Linked DNA regions of Diceros bicornis minor. The protein of the gene in region 1 binds, or shares a complex with, the protein of each later gene. Links are inferred from orthologs where the notes say so. Each region holds a gene or a part of one and is shown in the gene's direction. Other genes may lie near its edges.

Evidence for each region. Proteins that work in one complex are often made in the same cells at the same time.
Region 2: EID3 (region 1) and NSMCE1 share a complex: the UniProt entries of both Homo sapiens proteins name them as parts of the SMC5-SMC6 complex. The link is inferred for Diceros bicornis minor from reciprocal best matches to the Homo sapiens genes EID3 and NSMCE1.

Annotation. Positions count from the first base shown.
Region 1 is NC_080764.1:19,519,022-19,526,444, reverse strand, and holds the start of EID3 (EP300-interacting inhibitor of differentiation 3), read left to right. Parts: upstream 1-4,388; 5' UTR 4,389-4,482; coding exon 4,483-5,595; 3' UTR 5,596-7,423. UniProt on the Homo sapiens protein: Tissue-specific component of the SMC5-SMC6 complex, a complex involved in repair of DNA double-strand breaks by homologous recombination.
Region 2 is NC_080765.1:23,115,708-23,122,945, forward strand, and holds the start of NSMCE1 (non-structural maintenance of chromosomes element 1 homolog), read left to right. Parts: upstream 1-4,197; 5' UTR 4,198-4,277; intron 4,278-7,238. UniProt on the Homo sapiens protein: RING-type zinc finger-containing E3 ubiquitin ligase that assembles with melanoma antigen protein (MAGE) to catalyze the direct transfer of ubiquitin from E2 ubiquitin-conjugating enzyme to a specific substrate.

The DNA of each region.
Region 1 (7,423 bases):
TACTGGGTCTTTGGGGAAAAAAAATAAATAAATAAAATCTTTAAAAAAAAAAAAATAAAGTACTAGTTTTGATTTGAACCCAGGCCTCCAGAGCTGAGGTCAAGGCTGCCTCCTTAAAAAGCCACATACCCAGGGCTTTTCTACTCCTAGTCTATCAAGACGATGCTCCTGGTCATTGCCAACTTCTGAGGTATCCCAAGAGTTGATAATTGTTCCTATAACCTGAAAGGTTTTATTCTCCTCATCTCATACCCTTGTTTATGTTAGTTCTTGAGGCTTGGCAAGTCAGCCAGCACTGGGTTTTCTGAAGTGTCAGTTAAGTGTATAACTTGACCACAGAGCAAGGGCGGAGGTTTTATATACTTTAAAGTATTTCAGTCTGTGGGTTCAAATTATTTTGTGGGACTTGACTTTCATTTTATTTTTCTTCACTAATAAAGCCATCTTATTTGACTAGCACACATAGGCAAAGCCTCTTTTAGATACTACTGGGTTTTTTAAAGAATCTGTTGAAATCCAAGGAGCTATTCATGAAAAAAATATACATAAGTAATTTTACATACAATCTCAGACTCTTTGTTGACTTGCTTCAGAATATCTAGAAGAGAAGTCTACCCTTCAAAGTGCTGTACACATTTCCATTAGTTGAAGCCTTAGTAGATTTATTTTATTATATGGTAAATTTCTTTTCACTGGTATTTGTTATAGCGGGATATATTTCTGTATTCCTCCTTATGGATTTAACCTTTAAAATGTTTTTCTTTTCCTAAAACAACATCCAGAAGTGATGCTACTGGTTTGTATACATTTTTTTTCTATTTACTGTCTAATGTTGATTAAACATTTACTATCTTTGAGATAATTTAAGATTTAATAAGTACTTAATAGTTGAAAATATTTCAGATCTATCACATAATTCTTATTCAGTACTTAAAGTACCTTTGTGATGTGAGTAGTTGTAGTCCCATCTATCAAATGAGGAAACTGGAAGCTGAGAGGGTAAGTAATCTGCCTAAGATAAAACTGATAGCTAATAGATCAAGATTGGAACCCAAGTTTGCCTCCTTACGCTGTCCATTTTCAGAAACTCATTTAAAAAACACACAGATATCTGCCTTGATCATAGCAAAGTTTACCTTTAATACTAAAAAACCAAACAAAGCAAAAATATACACACAAACATAACTTTAAAGGAAATTAAGATGAGAAAGAAAATATACCTAACATCCTGCTAATCTGACAGATCAAACCAGGACTTTTTACCATGTTTCTTCACAACTCAGTATTAAATAGATACGCTGACAGGATGAGGGGGGTAAAACTCTTGTGAAAGAAGGAAAGTTTAGGGAGGTAGCTAATAGCAAGATAAGTCTATCTGTTAGAGTGCAGGACTCAGACTTGGCTGGGTTGCTGGCTTTGGCTCAGAAGTCTCTTCAACATCTGTTATAGATTGATCCTGCAGTTAAAACCCTGCTGGAAAAGATAGTGGACCCTATGTGAATTCTTTTTTTATTTGACCATACAGAGACTTGTAACTTACGACACCCATCCCACCATGTTTGTGGTGAGCACTAGGGGTTATGGGAAAGAGCTTAAGAATGCTTGGAATGAATGAATCTGAACTCTTAGCAAAGGGACTGAAAAATAACATAGGAGAAAAAACTGAAGAACAGAAGAGAAGAAATGGAGGACCATACTGAGCCCTTGGCAACAACTCCTGAAAGAGGAAAAAAGGGGAGGAGAGGAGCTAAATTATCTTGAAGGCCAAGCTGTATATCTTGGTTACCTGAACTAGTCTTACTGCATGAAGGTACATCTTAGTGATTTCTTTGAAGAAGTAGTACACTTTGCTTTCTGTAACAAGTCATAGAGAAGTTTACCAGTATAACCGAAATTCTGTATTGCTGTTCCTTCTTTTTTTATTGAGGTCACATTGGTTTCTAACATTATATAAATATTCCTTCTTTTTAAGCTGCATTTATATAATTATTACTAGTAATTGGACCTTAGGTTATAACATCTCTGTTTAGTGATTAAAGGATTCATAAGTGTAGAAATCTCATTCTTTAAATGATTGGGGAAAATCATTAGACTTGAGATTTTTGCTTTGCAGCGACATCTAAACCTTGTGCTCTAAAGGCAGATTTTAAAAGGCAAAATACAGTGCATGCATGACTTTCTGAGGACGATCTAAGTTACATGTTACTAAGGTTCTTAGGGACAGGGATCTAGCATAGAATGAATTCAGCGCTGGAAATTGCAATTTAGAAATATGATGCTTGTCTTGATGTGTTCTGTTGCTCTGAGCAAGTTGTGTAGGCCATTATCACCTGAGAAATCCCTGTAAATGGCATTAGTAATACTTTATAAGTAGGTTGGGAGAATTAATTTATTTTTCTAAAGCATTTTGAAATCCTTAGATGAAAGGGTCTGTATGGAGCAAATTGGTATCAGCCTGTTTTCCTTTCTCTGAGCCAGGAGAAAATAAGTACCTTAGGGTGGGAAGGTTGGCTTGTCTTTTAAAGTTCTTTTATAAATTGCTTTTATTGAATATGAAGTGGATATTAGAAGCTCCCAAGAATATGGTTAATTATAAAAGCAAACTTTTTTGGATTTGGGACTTAGAATTAACTGTGTATTTTCATCCAAGATTTAAAACAGGTTTAAATATTAGTTTGTAGTTGGCCAGACTTGGAGGGAAAATATGGCCCTTTGATGATCCTGGGTCCCAACTTTGTTTTCCTCCTGCTTTTTCTTTATTTCAGAGAAGGGATAAGGCTGACTTTCTGAAAAGCAGTTAACTTTTATTTTCGATTGTAGGATCTATTTCTTCCACTAATCTATGAAATTAATCTTTTGCTGCCAAATAACTTGCAATAGGTGCTGGGACAAAGTTTTTCATCTACATTCATTTATACATTCAAATATGCATACTCAAATGCCTCCATGTGAAAACAGCTTTGCTTGGAATATTTAAAACCAAGTTCTTGCTGTAGAGAAGCTAACAGTCTAATAGGCAGGATAATATCTATGTACAAGTAACCATAGTGCATGGTGTTTTTGAAAAATGTATGTTTCTTCCTGAATTACCCCTACTTAAAAAAAAATGGTGGACGACTAGTAATGTAAATATTTTGGAGTGACTTAATACTGTTTTGCTGTTCATGCATTTGTGAAAAGCTTTCTGCTAATGTCAGAGAATAATGAACAGTCTACATGCATAGCAAGGAAGGGAAGGGGAAACTCGAGTTGACAGGTGCAGTTTTGCCGTCTCTTGTCTCTCTGTCTCTGTCACAGGGGCACCTGTTGCAGTGGTTAAAAGCTTTTGATCTTGTGGGTTCAGAGTGTGCCTCTCGTTAAAAACAAAATGTATTCCTTTCCATTGTTACATATACTTTGCTACTTGTGTGACTGATCAGCTGACCCCTTTCTCCAACTGTACAAGAATTTTCAGTGAACTAGGTAGTGGGTGAATTTCCAATGAACTAGGTAGTGGGTGCATTTTCCAACCTAGATTAGTTACCTGATTTATACATCCTTATTCGCTTTCATATTCCTTAGAACAGATTTGTGTTTAAAATCTTCATAGCTTTGCTCACCTTTTAGGGTTCGGATTTACTATCCATTTAGTCTTTGGCCTTTAGCCGTTGGGAAGCTTCCAAATAGACAGCTCTTTTGCAGAAACCGTACCCAGTTTATTCCATCCTTGAGTGGTGGAGAACCAAAGATCACTTGAATAATACGCCCCACCCTTCGCACATGCGCTGGAAGAGACGCATCCCCAAGACGGGCCCTCCCTCCCACTATGGGGTAGTTTGGAGGGGATTTGGCTTTTGAGGGCCCCCGAAGGTAAGTGTGCATTTGTATATTGAAGAATGAGTTCCAAACAACCACCTTGCAAATGAACCCTGCGAGTTCGGCCGATTTGTAATGGAGGTTCTGCGTTTCACAGTCCTTGGCTTTACGGGCAGTTTGTAATCTAGCCAGATTTAGTTCTCAAAAAAACAAAAACAAAAAGACACCCCACCTTTTAATCATATTAAGAACGAAAAATGGAGGTCGACCTAGTGGCAAGATGACAGCGAATGTTTTAGAGCGCAGGACCTTTAGTCTCCCCGCAATTTTGTCATAACGTTGTCCATCTGTTTCTTTGAAAGCTACATGACACTGTTCGTAAACGCTAAAATAATAGCTGTTGCTTGAACGGATACTCGGCGTTGGGACCCATTATTGCGCGCGTTCTGTGCGCGGCCGCGGGCTCGTTCGCGAACGCGGGGCCTGGGGTCTGCGGCGCAGCGGGCGGCAGCCGGCGGGAGGTGGAGCGAGCTGGGGGCGGGAGCGGGGGCGGGAGCAGGGGCGGGCCTCCGGGCCGCGCCGCCAGTGCGCATGGGCGGACGCCCTCCGCTCTAACTGACCTCCTCACTTTCTGCTGTTGTGGGAAACGTAGCGAAAGCCGTTAGCTGAGCATCAGCAGTTGTCGACATGTTTGATGAGAAAGACTCTCTGAAGGAGGGCGTGGAGAAAAAAGAGGAGCCGGTGGTGAGCATCACTGGTAGCGCGTACTCTGTGAAGCAGGCGGAGGAGGACGGAGAACCGATGAAGGTGGAAGCGCTGGGGCCTGATTGCTGCTCTGACGACCTCGGCTGTGGGGATGCCGCCATAAAACCAAACCTCCTAGGGCTCGAGGCTGACGAGGAGAAATGCCGGAATATCCGCAAGCAGTACCGGCAGCTCATCTATAACGTGCAGCAGAATCGTGATGACATAGTGAACAGAGCGAGCAACTCATTAACCGAGGCTCTTGAGGAAGCCAATGTCCTGTTTGATGGAGTGAGCCGAACAAGGGAAGCAGCCCTCGATGCCCAGTTTCTTGTTTTGGCTTCTGATTTGGGTAAAGAAAAAGCAAAGCAGCTAAACTCTAATACGAGCTTTTTTAATCAAGTAGCGTTTTGTGACTTTCTGTTTATATTTGTGGGTCTAAACTGGATGGAAGAGGATGAACATGATGAGTTGGGTGGCTGTGATGATAATATAGCTCTTTCCTTCTGGGAGACAGTACAAAAGGAAGCAACATCCTGGATAGTGCGAGCTGAAACATTCCACTTTATTTTTGGTTCGTTCAAGTCAGAGCCTTCTGCACCAAAGCCCCGGCTTGACCACCAGAAAAAAGTTCACAAAATGGAAGAAAACGGGGATATGCCTACAAAGCTGAGGAAGTTGGACCTGAATGGTAATCAAGAAGCGACAGAAAAAGAAGTGGAAAGAATCTTGGGATTGTTGCAAATGTACTTTCGAAAGTATCCTGATACTCCTGTGTCCTATTTTGAATTTGTGGTTGATCCAAACTCTTTTTCTCGTACTGTGGAGAATATATTTTATGTTTCTTTCATTATAAGGGATGGTTTTGCAAGAATAAGGCTTGACCAAGACAGGCTGCCAATATTAGAGCCAATTAATATTAACCAAATGGGTGAGGGAAATGATCCCAGTTCCCATGGCAGGAAACAAGGAGTTATATCTTTGAGTTTACAGGACTGGAAAAATATTGTGGCAACTTTTGAAATTTCAGAGGCTATGATCACAAACTCATACTAAAGATTTTTGTTCTTAGTATAGGATGCGTTTTCTGGCTTTTCTAATGTATTTCAAAATGAAGAGTAAAATCTGAACAGAAGCACATATTGTATCTCTTGGAAAGTGAAAAAGTATTTTCAAGAACGTCAGAAATTATTTTACTGTGCAGTGTATTTTTCTTGGTAGTTTGGTCTTCTGTTATTAAAAAAATGCACTGGCATGTTCATGAGAAAAATTTTTTGAATGCCTTTTAAGACTTAATAAAAATCCATTCTGAATTTCATAAATTACAAAGTATTTGGTAATTTGCCAAAAAATCACTTAGGATGTTCTGTGATATTACATTGCTTCCTCTTTTATAGGGAACCAAGGGAATCCCATATGGGGCTCCTAACCAGGTTGGGGGAAGAGTGAGTGAAAAAAATGGTCAAGAAAGACTAACCATAGGGCAGTGAATCTGCAATGTTGAGTGTAAAAAAAATTTAGATGCCATATACTTCTTTACAAAGAGGAGTCAGTAAGATTAATGAGTGGATATCTATAGTCTAAATAATTTCTCGTGATGGAACTCAACAAAGGTAGTGTGTCTCTACTGTAGTAGGTGAGGTGTTAATTAAGTGCTGAAAGCTGAGTAGGAATTGGTTAAAGACAGGAGAGGTGTTCTAGGCAGGGGAGTATGGAATTGGGAAAAGTTATGGCACCAGAGAACCATAAGATTTTTAAGAAAACTATTCCATTTCAATGTTAAACTGGGCAAAAATTGAATTAACTCGTATTTTAGTATTCTCAGAGGTAGAAAATATTTTTGTCAGATTATTTCAAACAAAATCTTTTGACATCCAGTTATAGTCTTTATCTACTTGGGTAGTTTCTTTGCTGGCTTCTTGTTTCCCTTGGTAGCTTCTGCTAGTACACAGAGTGTTGTTCAGAATCAGTGATGTTTCATTGTGTGACAGCCTTGACTATTTGTTCTCCATTCGATTTTCCATTTCTTAATAGGGCTTTAAATGCCTGGAAACCGTCCCTGTTTAAACTGAAATATATGACTAATTTATCCAAATGTTCTTCAATTCATATAAAGCCATGAAGGCTTTTTTTTCTTTTTGTTGCTTGCAGTTGTTTTAAGAGTATAAATTACAGCCTTATTTGGAGGTTACTGCCAAAAATTTGGATCTTTAAGAAAACAGTTTCCGAAGGTGCAGTGAGCATGCCTAGAAGCTTCTTTTCTTGATCCCTCTAGGAACTTAATTGTTGGTAGGAGTGGATTTTTACCATTAAACTGGTAAGTGGATAAGTATCTGTTTTGCATAGCAGTAATGATAAACTTTCCTGCTAAGTCAAGTGGGATGTAAAGGGAAGGGAAATCCAAAGACAGAACGAATGACATCAAGATTGAGAGGAGAGATCTTATATATGTGTGGGGAAGGTTCTTCACCAGTAATAGTGGAGGTTTTTAGCAAAGAGAGAAATTTCTCATGAAACTTGGCCAGTTATTTCCTAGTCGTTCCTTCCCCTTTATCGTGTGAAGGAGTGCTAACCTTCGCGGTGTCTACCACCACCCTTTGATTTAGCAGTCATGGAAGCATCGTTTGGTTTCTCTGATCCTCACTTAGCATGTCTCTACCAGCTGAGTTCCTTGGGTTTTCCAGAGGTTTGCTGTTTGAGGAAATAGTACTCTTAATGATAGCAAAAAGGTGTTGCCTCAGTTCCTTACTCACCCCCAGCTTGCTCTGTTAAATGCCTAGTGTCTTTACTAGGATATTTGAAACTTAGTGATGATTAAAAGCATTAATAGATAATCTGGAGGTTTGTGGAGACAGTAGTTTTTTAGGTCTTCTCTAAAGTTATA
Region 2 (7,238 bases), on another chromosome or scaffold:
TCGAACAGCTTTCCACACATTTTTTTAGCCATTTGAATGTCCTCTTCTGGAAGATACAGTCTTTTGATCCCCTGGGAAACTCAATTTTTGCATCCGTTTGTGATATAGACAGACTTGGCATTTTCTTTAATTCTGCTGTTCTCGTTTTGGTATCAAGATTAGAATAGTTTCACAGAATGTGTTGGATTTCTCTGTCTTGTTCATATTCCTGTGCAGTTTGCATGATATAGTTTTGTTTTTTTGGGTTTTGCATTTTTTGTGTGTATCACTCCAGTAAAACTGTCTTGGCCTAGGCATTTGGGGAGCTGGAGCAGAAGAAGTTCTGCTACCTTTTCAATCTCATTGATGGATATTTGTCTACTTTTCTTCTTGGGCCAAGTTTTATATGTATTTTTGTCAAAAATTACCCCTTTTATGTAGGTTTTCAAATGTATTGGCATAAAGTTGTTCCTAGTATACTCTTATGCTTTCTAACATTTTTATTCTGGTATGTTTCCTTTGTCATTCATAATATTGTTTGTGTCATTTTCTTGATCAAATAAAATTTGTCTATTTTATTAGTCTTTAACAGAACACCAACTTTAGGTTTCCATTTTCTTTCGTTTTTCATTTTACTTATCTCTGCTTTTTGCTTTATTGTTATTTCCTTCCTTCTGTTTTCTCTGGGCTTATTTAGTTATTTTTCTACATCTTAAATTGAACACTTAAATTTTGTTTTCTTATTTTGTAATAGGTACACTTCAGGCTATAAATTCCCCTCTGGTTATTGTTTTGGTTGGATCCCACAAGTTTTGTTATGGCAGGCTTTTATTGTCATTCATTTCTAAATATTTTGTAATTTCTATATTGGTTTTCTTTTTCATGCGTACGTATTTTTCAGTTTCCAAAAGGTATGTTCTTTTTCTTTTAAAAATGTATTATAGGGGCCGGCCCGGTGGCGCAAGCGGTTAAGTGCGCGCGCTCCGCTGTGGCGGCCCGGGGTCGCTGGTTCGGATCCCGGGCGCGCACCGAGGCACTGCTTGGTAAGCCATGCTGTGGCGGCGTCCCATATAAAGTGGAGGAAGATAGGCACCGATGTTAGCCCAGGGCCGTCTTCCTCAGCAAAAAAGGAGGAGGATTGGCGGATGTTAGCTCAGGGCTGATCTCCTCACACACACACACAAAAAAATGTATTATAAAATCTTTTAACATAAAAAAGATCTAAAATTAAAATAATGAACACCTAGCTTAAGAAATAAGACTCAAATGTATGCTTTTAATTTTTTTATTTTTCATAAGTAATAGATGTACATGATAAAAAACAAATCATACTGTCTTCCTGGCCCCTCCTTAGAAGCAACTGCAGTTACTAACTTAAGGTGTATTCTGTGAGTTGTATGGGTTTCCTTTTGGCTCTCTTTTTGTTGTTGACTTTTAATTTTACTTCGTTGCGGTTCGTGACAGTGGTCTATAGATTCTTTGGAATTCACTGAGGCTTCCTTTGTGGCCAGTACATAGTCAATTTCTGTAAATGTTTCAAGTATGTTTGAAAAGAACGTAGGTGCTGATGTTCTTTTTCTAAAAGACAAACCTGATCCCATCACTTCCTCTCTGATAGCGTCTATGGTCTTCAGGTGAAAGACCAACCCCTTTAGCCTATGATTTGGCCTCAGGCTTCCTCTCTAGCCAAGGCCTCAGCCACCTCCCTTATGTACAACAAATTTATGTCCACATAGCTCTTGTACCTTTCAGGGTCAACTTTCAGAAGAACGTTTGAACTGTCAAAGTTGTCTGTCGCAGGCAGTCCAATATCTGCCACATCAAAGGTCCTAATAGATACTCACTGAACCAACTAGAGAATGGGCTGTCTTCTGAGGGTAGAGTCATGAACTCCAGTCTTTACTCACTACTTGCTCCTACTGAGCCCGATCCACCTCCCTGAGACCTCTGGTTGCTGTATCCCTCCATGCTAATTTCTCAGCACCGTCCCTACTTCCTATCCCTGCCTGCCCATACCACCACGGGTCACTTCAAAGACCCTCCCACCAACGCTCTCCAGTTGCTTTGCCTTCTAGCCACAGCTGCATGTGCCCAACCAAGCCCCACCCCAGGATGAATCCACACCAAGCTTCTGCTCTGAGGCCCCTGGCATGGGGATGGGAGATTGTGGGGGGATCAGGTGAGCGACTGTCCTCTCTACACATTGATGGTTTCAGCCTTAGCCAGAACCTCACTTTCGCATCTGTTCCAAACCTCTTGACTCCCTTCAAATCCCCTAGCATCTCCCTGGCCACTTTATTCAGCAGAATGATACTTTGCTACTTTACAGAGAAAATAGAAAACATCAGGGGTGAGCCTTTATCCCATTTCGCCTCCTTTCCTCCTGTTTCAGAAGTGTCTCTCTTTCTGTCTAGGATAAAAGTAATCCTGTCTCCATATGCCCTCGACTTCGTCCTCTCCTGTCTCCTGTTTTTATTCTATTGATTACTCCCTTTGTTCCCAAGTCTTCACATCTAGCCTTCCCAAACCATCCTTCCTAGAAGCAGTCAGCACTCGTTCTCCACTCCCTCGGCTTCCCTGCATTCACTCCTCTTGGAGGCTGATCTAGCTTCCTCTGTCTCTATGGGCTCTTACCAGCCATCAAATTCCAAATCGGTGGCATGTCTTTCTTGACCTCCCCAGAGCACTGACAACTCAGACCACACTCTGCTTCTCAACACTCTCTCCTACCTGTTTGCCTCCGATACCACCCAATCTTGAATCCCTTTCTTTTCTTTCTACCTCCTTTCTTGGCCCTTTGATCCTGACATGTCAGTGTCCCGGCTTTTTCTATTCGTGGTCCTCAGTTTTTATTTCACTACACAGTAGGCAAGCACACATTTTGTTACAAAGGGGCATAGTCTTTACTAAGCTCTGATCAAGTGGGAGAATGCTGGCTGATTGTCACCAGATTGCCTCATTTTTCAAGAGCTGTCAAATACCCTAGGGTTTTATGTGAAATGCCTCAACTTTAAATATTGATAATGAATTCAAAACGTTATAAAACTGTGCAGGGCAAACAAAACATGGATGGTCCTCCTTAGGGATGTTCTTCTCTTATTTGCCTGCCCCCTAAGGCATTTTATAAAGTACTTTATTAGAATGGTAACTCACACTTATTGAGGGCTTACTATGTGCCACTCTTCTAAGTGGTTTGCATGTATTAACTCATTTAATCTTATCAACAATGTGCTATTATTATCTCTGCTTTATAGATGAGCAAACTGAGGCAGAGAGCTTCAATACCTTGTGCTGGGTCTCAGAGATACTGAGTTTAAGCACCAGGATGCAAATCCACATGGTCCAGCTCAGGAGCTCAAGCCTTTAACCCTTACACTCTACTGCTTTCCCCATCAGCAGAGGAGGAAACTGAGGTCCAGAGAGGTTGAGAAATTGTCCAAGCTCACAGGAGTGGTAACCCGCCGAGTAGGGGTTTGAAACTTTCATCACAGAGATAGATACTTGCACTTTCTACTGTCCCTATAATTAGCTACCTATTTCCCCTGCTAGACTGCATACCCAGCTCTCAGACGAGACTGGAGTACAAATGTTTGTAAAAGGAGTGCCCTGGAGACTCAAAAACAGTCCCTTCACTTCTATTGGTAACTTCGGTTACTTCTCACAACAATCCCTAGGTAAGACTAGCTAACATTCAATCAGCATTTCCACGCGCGTTACCTTTTAAACCTGACGAACACACTACTTCATAGGGATTGTGATTATCCGCATTTAACAGAAGAAGAAACTGAGGCTCTGCGCAGCTCAGGAATTGCCCAATTTCCGGCAACTAGCAAGTGGCAGAGCCAGGATTCTAGCTCAGGCTGTGTGACAACAGACCCTCATTCTTGACCTTGAGGTCACACTGTCAGTTCTACAGATGGGGAAATTGAGGCACTAGCTTGTGCCCGTGGGATCGCGGCCCGGGGTGGGGGGGCACGCTGCACTCCTGCCCTTCTTCTCTCGGGTCGCCGGGCGCCACCGCGGGCCAGGAAGCGGCAGGCGACAAGGAGAAGCCCTTCCCGGTAAGGTACCGAGAGCGGCGCGGAAAGCTCGTAACCCCGGACCTCACCAACAGACTCTGCGACACCATGGCAACCGCGCGGGCCGGCGAACAGGAAGTGCGTCACTGGTGGGCGGGACGAACCTGCGACGGCCACCAATGGGAGCACCGCGTCCGCCTTCGCCCCGCCCCGAAGGAGGAGCCGAGGCCGCTTTTCTGCCGTCGCTTGGGACCGTGTGGGCTGCGTTTGGGGGCCTCGGTGGGTACCCCGGGGCGCGGGGCTGATGGGGAGGGGGAGTGTTGTCCGGGCATGAGAGGGGAGGACGGAGGCGGGGGTCAGGCCCCGGGGCCTGCCGCGTGCTGGGCAGGAGTGTGGCGCTGGGGCCCGGGGGCTCCGGACTTCGCATTTCCTGGTGGGGAAACTGAGGCCCGAAGACGGGCGGCAGAGGCAGGTGGGCTGGCACCGAGTCCCTCACGCACACAGACATTTTAAAATCGTAATCTTAGGTGAAAAAGTACTTTTAATCATCGGAGTTGAAAAATCAAAATACAAAATGTTATCAAAACAGTACGTAACTATGGCCTTCGCTGACCCCACTCTCAGTTACTCTCGCCCTCCTCTGTGCTTCACCCCTATTTTGTGTGCAGAACTTAATTACTTTGTTCAAGTCCACAGCCTCTTATTTTAAAGCCCTGAGGCTAGATGTGTGCAGAATCCCAAATTTCTCGAATTTTCGAAAGGTAAAATGGTGCATATATGCTCCGTTATGTCATGCCTTCCGTGGGGTCTAGGGCAGCATCCTGGAATCAAATACATTAATATTTCCGCAGCTACATACGTGCACATTTACACGAAAGGGGATAAAGAACAGCCATAAATAGCCTCACGTTAGGTCAGATCAGGTTTTCAAACTTGAAAGACGTGGTTTGCAGACCTTTTTAGATTTGAAAATTGCAGATAAGGGACCTGGATCATAATTGTACTGTTCACTCGTATTTCTCGCTTCTCTGGACTGGAGGTGCCACGGTTCCTGAACTCTGCTTTTGTATGGCCACTGGCTATTTCCATCACTAACTGTGTGTCACCTTGTGCTCTCTCAGCCTCAGTTTCCTCGTCTGTAAAATGGGGTCAGTAATGCTTTCCTCATAAGGTTCTGATGAGGATTAAATGCAACTGTGCATGTGAAGCACTAACACTGCATCTAGCACATAGCTCAAACGATTATGATTGAGATTTGCTTATTCCATAAACATTTCTATTTTATGGTTATTTGAGTAGACAATACATGTCCATGGTCAGTCTCTCCTACCCTGGCCCTCTTCATAAAGACAACTGACTTCTATGCATTAACAAGCCTATCTGTATCTTTCACGCTATTTCCCTTCTCTTGTCCCCAAATTAGAGTGTTCTATACGGTGTTCTTACTGACATTTATTTTGGCTGTTACTTAACATATTTATATCATTTTCTTATTTTTTATCAAGATACATAACATGCCGATAAAAATGTGTGAAAATGTAAGTTTGAAGAATTAGAATGAACACCCATATACCCACCACCAAGTTAAGAAATAGAACATTGTCTATCCTCAAAGCCCCACAGAATCCTGTCTCCCCTCGCTGAAGATAGCCTCTGCCCTGCATGTTGGGTTACTCATTCCCTTGTTTTTCTTTGTAGTTTTTACTCGCCCTGTATCTCTGATGAGTGCAATGTACAGTTTTGCTAGGTTTTGAATTTTGTATAAATAGGATCCTAGTATATATTTTGTGTGACTTGATTTTTGCACATAAGGTTATGTACATGAGATGCACCCATGTTGATGTGAGTAGCTCTTCTTCATCTTCGTTGCTGTTTTGAATTCCATGGTATGACTATAAGTGCTTTATGTAGGCATTCTTCAGTTGATCGTCATTTATACTGTTCCCAGATTTTTGCTATTACATGGTGCTTTTACAAATATATTTCCTGGGGCAAATGTGGAAAAGTTTCTCTAAGTTATATACCTAGTAGTGGATTTCTGGGGATATCCAAATTTGCTAGTAATATCAAATTGTCTCAAGTGGTTGTAAGAGATTATACTCTACCAGCAGTGGATGAAAGTTGCGGGCTCAGCCATTCTCAAGAATTTTTGCCTATCTGGTGATGGGTAAGACATTAATCACTGTGGTTTGAATACTCAGTTGCCTGATGAAATTGAGATTGAGCATCTTTTTCTGTATTTATTAATCATTTGTGTATCCTGTATGTGAAATTTCTGCTGCTCATTTTTCTCTTATGGTTGTCCTCCCCTTACTGATTTGTAGGAGTTCTTTATATGTTCTGAATATGAATCTTTTGTGGCTTAAATGTTTTTCAGATACCTTCCAGTTTGTAGCTTGTCTTCTCTCTCTCACTCTCTGGTATTTTTGGTGAACAGAGGTTCTTAATTTTAACAAAGTTGAATTTACTGATATTCCTTTATGGTTTGGAATTTTTTTGTCTTTTTAAGAAATCCCTCGTTACCTTGGGATCGTAAAGATATTCTCCTATATTGTTGTCCAAAAGTTTTGTCCTGTTTCCTTTCTTGTGACCTTAATCCTCAAGAATAGATTTTTGTGCATAGTGTAAAGAAAGGGTCTAGTTTTATATATATTTTTTTCACATATGGATAATCAGTTGTTCTGGCACATTTTATTGAAAAGTTTGCTTTGAAATGGAGTTCCATTTCTCCAACATGTCAAGTATCTACATATGCATACATTTCTGAGTTCTCTGTTCTGTTCCATTGGTCTTGTGTGTCCATTTCTATACCATTACCAGACTTTATTCGTTACCCTAGCTTTAGAATGAGTTAGGACAAGTCCTCTGCCTTTATCTTCTCCAAGAAGGCCTTTGCTGTTTTGCCTTTACACTTTCCATGTAAGTTTTAGAATTGTCTTGTCAAATCACAAACAGACACACAAAGCCTGTTGGGATTTTGATAGGAATTGCATTGATTCAGTTGCATTGGATCAATTTGGATTTTAAAATGATTGCTTTCAACATTTCATCCTTAAGTATGTTTGCTCTGGGTTTTTGTAGATGTCATTTAGTAGATAATGGAAGTTGCCTTCTATTCCAAGTTTGTTAAGAGTTTTTAGTACGAATTAAATGTTGGGTTTTGTCAACTGTATTTGCTGCATCTGTTAAGATGATTGTATGCTTTTTCTTCTTTATTCTGTTAATGTGGTGACTCACATT